Cricetulus griseus: one gene and its partner. The protein of the gene in region 2 interacts with the protein of the main gene of each other region in a pairwise test. Links are inferred from orthologs where the notes say so. Each region holds a gene or a part of one and is shown on either strand. Other genes may lie near its edges.

The links.
Region 1: the proteins of Mos (region 2) and Sec24c interact in binary tests that used the Homo sapiens proteins (3 or more experiments, as listed by UniProt). The two-hybrid records come from large-scale screens. The link is inferred for Cricetulus griseus from reciprocal best matches to the Homo sapiens genes MOS and SEC24C.

What each region holds. Positions count from the first base shown.
Region 1 is NW_023276807.1:200,310,126-200,313,867, forward strand, and holds the start of Sec24c (protein transport protein Sec24C), read right to left. Parts: upstream 2,918-3,742; 5' UTR 2,765-2,917; intron 2,702-2,764; exon of another isoform or gene 2,422-2,701; intron 1,552-2,421; exon of another isoform or gene 1,174-1,551; intron 1,039-1,173; 5' UTR 1,011-1,038; coding exon 839-1,010; intron 1-838. UniProt on the Homo sapiens protein: Component of the coat protein complex II (COPII) which promotes the formation of transport vesicles from the endoplasmic reticulum (ER).
Region 2 is NC_048595.1:156,239,247-156,241,835, forward strand, and holds Mos (proto-oncogene serine/threonine-protein kinase mos), read left to right. Parts: upstream 1-975; coding exon 976-2,010; downstream 2,011-2,589.

The sequences.
Region 1 (3,742 bases), on a different chromosome or scaffold from region 2:
TCTGTTACCTAAGCTGAACTTGAATTTACTCTATAGCACAGGCAGGCCTTGAACCCACAATCCTCCTGCTGCAGCTTCCCTCACAGGATTACAGGCCTGTGCCTGTGGAATCTACTTTCTTAAGCAACACAGCATTTGGCATTGCTCTAAGTAATCAGAGAGCCAAACCCAAAAGTCTTCTGTTAATAACATTGCAAGTCTGCCTGGTAGCATGCAGAGAATGAGCTATTCTTGAAAAAGTAACATAAAACAAAACACTGAGGGCTGGGGGCATAGAGTCTAATGCAATAAGTTTTCTTATTTCACTGATATTGTCAAACATCTAAGAAAATGAAACCCAAGCAAAGGAAAACAAAATACAACAAGAGACTAGGAATACTAAAAGTCAGCCATACAAATACACTTTTCCTCCCAGATTCATTTACACATAAATGTGTCTCAGAGTCATTTTATAGTCAGAACTAGAAGTCAAATAAGCATTCTCAACACGTATGAGGAACAAGTGATGTCAGGCAAACTTGAAATCAGTAGGCAATGGAAAACCTGTGACTACAACCCTTGTCTAGCTCTTAACAATGCAGCCAGGTGAGACTGTCCGGGGTGACATCCACAGAAGTCAGCTGTTAATTGAATCTGGAATTCATTCCCATTAGGTGTCTTATGGTGGCAACAGTCACAAATGTAAAAACAGGGTGAGACATACCTTTGTATGCCTCATGGGGCGAGCCAGATTCATGTTCTTTAATCACAGTCCTTAAGCAGCTTCGTCAGAGCAATACAATCTAATGTGAAGACTGCTCATTCCCTTCCTCCACTCAAAAGGAACCTGGAAACATACCTTGGGGAGGTATTTGCTGATACCCTGGCACTGGGCCATTGTAGGCTCCATAGGGAGTAGCAGCTACTGCAGGTCCTGGTTGCCCACCATAACTGGACTGATGATACCCTGGGTAGATGGGCTGGTTCTGCCCAAATGGTGGAACAGGTGGAGCTGATTGATTGACATTCATTATGAGAGCATCCCCGATTTGATCTTACCTATTGGAGGAAGGAAAAGAAAGAAATTAGTCAAAACACTTTCTGAGGAGAGCGCAACTATTCAGGGAAGGAAGGAAAAGACAAAAAGGGATTGGCCTTATCAGGCAGTGATCAGATAAACTGTTTCCACATTACCACAGATCTCAGTAACTTCCTGCCCCAGCCAGTACCCAGTCACTTTCTTCAAAGCAAGGATTTAGTTACTGTGAACCCCATGTTGTGTCACTGCCAAGAAGGTATAAATTTCAACTTCAGACAGACCTAATGGAACAGAACAGCAGACATTCTCCAGTGGTATGATTTTCAGTGTCTAGTCACACAGAGTCCCCTGGCTGATAAATACCATGATGTTACAAGTAAATAAAACAATGTTTCCACTTTCCATTCATTCTGTCTACCATCAACTCATCCATTCAGGCAATAAACACTTGAGTAACTTCAAATGTGCTGAGCTGTTTTGAACTACTAACACACAAAAAAAATTAAAAATGGATCAACTAAAATCCCTCCCCCACAAAAGACAACTGTAGAATTGTCTGGGAGAAATGGCATCTTTCTCTGACCTACAATAATCCAAATGATACTCTGACCCCAGACTTTCCATGAGAACAGTGTATTAATCCTGCAAAGACAAAAAAGCAAAATCAAAAAACAATAGCTGAGCAGTCATGGTGCACGCCTTTAGTTCCAGCACTTGAGAGGCAGAGGCAGGAAGATCTCTTTGAGTTCAAGGCTACCCTGGTCTACAGAGAGAGAGAGTTCCAGGACAGCCAGAGCTACACAGAGAAGAAAAAAAAAAAAAGGTAGAGAACACCTGAATACCTAGCAAGCAATATTCCATTACAAGTTCATTCATTTCATTCCTCAAGCAGAGGAGTATGGGTATTCTAAATCCAAAAGCATGTCGGGTAATTCGGTTTCTGTTCTAATGTTTGCTTGATAGGTCGCTATCAAAACTATTGCAGTCTTGCCCAGCAACAGAGGGATGAGTTGGAGGTCCTTTCAAGGGTCATTCCAAGAAGGGGGACAGCAGATCTAAACAATCTTATCATTCTAATTATTCTACAGGCAGAAGGGGGCCCAGGAAGAGTGTGACCTCTCACTCAGGTCTGCTAGCAAAGCCCAAAAGATGAACTGCTACCGGACTGGTAACTCTGTAAAGTCAAAGCCATTTTAGGAACTGTCCTTCCAAACCCTAAACCTTACACATGCCACTGACAGTGAGCTTGGGAGACGTCCCTCTCACTTTAACTTCCTCAGGTCAAGAGAGAGAGCAACGCAATAAGCTTGGAGTCAAACTCCAATCTTGACTCCATTCTAGGTGGACAGTCGAGGGTGACAACCCAAAGGGGCGGGGCAAGCCTCCTAGAACTCTGAAAGTACCCGAGATGCAGAGGCTTGGGAGCTCCAGGGATCGAGATCAGCAAGCCACGCCAGCCTCTAGGGCCACGATGAGGGCCGGTTCATTAAGCAGTAAAGACCAAGCTTCTAAAGCCCTTCAACATTCCGGGAAGGCGAGGCGAGAGCCGGAACCTGGGCCAGGAGGTGAAGGGAGGGGTCTGGGACCGATCGCCGGTCACGGATGCGGGAGGTGAGGGTCTCTTCCCAGACCCCGCCTCCAGGCTCCTCCCTTTCCTCTAAAACCGGACCACGGCCAGACCAGAAATACCCTGGCCTCTCCTCAGCATTCCTCCCCACCGCGCAACCTCGCGATGCCACTCCTCACCCGGCTCCAGATCCAGGTTCGACTTCGTTCCTAACGTCAAGGATCCCAGGCTCCACTTCCGGTTCCGAGGGAGCTGGCGTGCCGTCCCCGGAAGTTCCGCCCCATGCTGTAGGACTGGGGGAGCCACCCCTTTGCCACGTCGGCCTTAGGCGCGCATCCGGAAACCCGGATGCCGCGCATGCGCCTTTGTTATCTCCCGTTGTGGCTGCTGTCTGGGCAGCAACCCTGAGAATCATGCTTTGTTTTTGTTTTTGTTTTTGTTTTCTTCCAGATATTACAGACTCTTTATGGCTTTACCAGCTGAGAGGGTGTTGAGAAAACTATTTTAGTAACGCCTCCTCTGTCATGCTGTGACACATTAAGAACCTCTAGTCTTGTAGCCACTTCCTGTTAACCTTTCACCCATTGATTTGCGTCCCGCAGGTAGATCTTACCCCCCGACCTTTGAGCCACGCGTGGTGGTGACACGGTACTACCCTTGCTATGAGGTTGTGTGCTTATGTGTTCGAGTTTGGGTCCCTTAGTTCAATGCTTGGACACTTCTTCACTTCTTTACTACAACGAAAATAATGCCTATCGAGCATCGAGTTGCAATGGATTTAGAGACATTTCATAATTGTCTAGTATAGTGTTCAATAAAGATTAGTTGTTTACTATTTTATGCCGTGCCTTTTTATTTACAGAAGCAAACTCTACTAGAGCCAAAAGATCTCCCTGATCTCTGTTAAAAATAGGTAGAATTCTTTCTGTAATTATAACTCTAAAGAATAAATGTAACTAATCAGTAATTGTTGCTCCTTCTCCCGTCCCCCCTCTGCCGCCGTCGGTTTTTTGTTCTGAAACTGGATATGTAAGGGTCACCTTGAATTCACACTTTTTAAAATTTTTTTTGTTTTTTGTTTTTTTGTTTTTGTTTTTCGAGACAGGGTTTACCTGTGGCTTTGGAGGCTGTCCTGGAACTAGCTCTTGTAGACCAGG
Region 2 (2,589 bases):
CTTTTCCCCCAAAGATATGGCATGAAAATGAGCACTGTATTATGAAAATTGGAAATGATGAGTCTGGTTTGGTGGCCAGGCCCTGAATTTATGTTTAGTGCCTGCTTTTCTGTACTATAGAAGGATTCCAGTGATTCTGTGCCATGTCTGTTCCTCCTGGTTTTCCTGTGCTTATTTACAGCTATGGCCATCACACTCACTTTGTTCCTTTTTCTCTCCCTCCAAGTCTGTGTTAAGTTCCAGTAACTTGTTGGCTGTGGTCTAGAATCTGGGTGACCTGACTTGCCTGGAAAGGAAGGACTGGTAGGAAGTCGGGGTGTTGCTAAGAAGTCTTCTTGCTGTAGAAATCAAATCCATCAGAATCCCCCTTCTGATGAACTTAGGAGGTGTGCATGTTTTGTATCACTGATTCTATTTTGATTAATGACATTAAAGTTACAATTTTTAATTCTTATGAAGGTTGCACCTAATAATCTTGGCAAGTGGTTCGACAAATGCCTGCTATTTGTATTGCAACTCTTGCATCCAATAGCTGCTTGGAGTGATTTAACGCAGCTGAGGAGGACTAGCACTAACAATCATTATAGCCTGAAAAGTGCACAAGTTCACTGTGCTTTTTTTCCTTCTTCAGTCTAAAGACCGATTAATGCTCATCAGATGCTACTTGAAAATCGTTTTCGTTGTATTATGATTAAAGAAATAGTTTAAAGGAGAGGTGAGCCCTGAGGCAGGCCAGTGCTATTTAACCCGTGAGAGGTCGTTTTACTAAGGATTTACTTTAGCCATGCTTCGTCTGCACCCCACCCCCATCTTGCTGAGTGATAGCACAGATGTAGCTCGTTTTGAGAATACAAGGAAGGAGGGAAAGGGGCTAGGGTGAAATCAGGAATCTTCAACCATGCTTCCAGACTCCCCAGGGTTGTTCCTAGTCATTTCTACCTAGTGCCCCTGGTGCCTTTCCTACCTGAAGGTGTGATGCCATCGCCTCTAGCCCTATGTCGCTACCTCCCTGGTGAGTTGTCACCGTCGTTGGACTTGCGACCCTGCAGTAGCCCCTTGGTGGCTCCGGGGAAGGCCGGGAAGCTCTTCCTGGGAGCCACTCCTCCTCGGGCCCCGCGGCTGCCACGCCGGCTGGCCTGGTGTTCCATCGACTGGGAACAGGTATGCCTGCTGCATAGGCTGGGTTCTGGAGGGTTTGGTTCGGTGTACAAAGCCACTTACCACGGTGTTCCTGTGGCCATAAAGCAAGTGAACAAGTGCACCAAGAACCTACGTGCATCCCAGCGGAGTTTCTGGGCTGAACTCAACATTGCAAGACTGCGCCATGACAACATAGTCCGGGTTGTGGCTGCCAGCACGCATACGCCCAAGGGCTCTAACAGCCTGGGTACCATAATCATGGAGTTTGGGGGCAATGTGACTCTACACCAAGTCATCTATGGTGCCACCCGCTCTCCAGGGCCTCTAAGCTGCAGCCGAGAACAACTGAGTTTGGGGAAGTGCCTTAAGTATTCCCTAGATATTGTTAATGGCCTGCTTTTCCTCCACTCACAAAGCATTTTGCACTTGGACCTGAAGCCAGCGAACATTTTGATCAATGAGCAGGACGTCTGTAAGATCAGTGATTTCGGCTGCTCCCAAAAGCTGCAAGATCTGTGGTGCAGCCAGACGCCCCCTCACCACATAGGTGGCACCTACACGCACCAAGCTCCGGAGCTCCTGAAAGGAGAGACCGCCACGCGCAAAGCCGACATCTACTCTTTCGGCATCACCCTCTGGCAGATGACCACCAGGGAGGTGCCATACTCAGGCGAGCCTCAGCAGGTGCAGTACGCTGTGGTGGCCTACAATCTGCGACCGTCCCTGGCGGGGGCAGTGTTCACCTCCTCACCGACGGGGCGGAAGTTGCAGAGCATCCTCCGGAGCTGCTGGGAGGCCCGCGCCCTGCAGAGGCCGGGTGCAGAACTGCTCTTGAGGGACCTGAACGCTTTGCGAGCAGCATTGGGCTGACTCCATCCAGCCTGTGCTTTTTGTTTCTGATTATTTTTAAAGAAGTAAGGGTGGTGTGGAAGAAAACATACCCCTAGGACATAATTTTAGAAAATAAAGTTACTGAAAACTTCAATCTGAAGGGTTTTTTTTTTTTTTTTCCTGAGAATAAGGAGGCTACAGATTTCATGAGCATCACTGCTGGTAACAAACCTGACCCCCTTTATAGTTCTCTGTCCCCTTTCTGGGCTCCTGACCGACTGTATCATCTCCACAATATTGCTGTTAGTTGGATTTGTTACTGAGTGGAAAACAGAAGAGAAAGGGAGGGGAGAGTAAGGAAAGGAGGGAGGGAGGGAGGGAGGAAGGGAGGAAAGAAAGAAGGAAAGAAGGAAAGAAGGAAATGACATGACTACTAATAGGTGTGGTGAAAGAGAAAGTTTATTGTAGATAAAAGGGAGACATAGTCAGAGGCAGGGACATCTGGAAAAGTCCATAGTGAATATGATCCTGAGCCATGGGGGGAGGGGGGAAGAGACGGGAACCAGGTGCAACAATCAGAAGACCCCCCAAAAGGAGAGATAATCAAAATGACTAGAT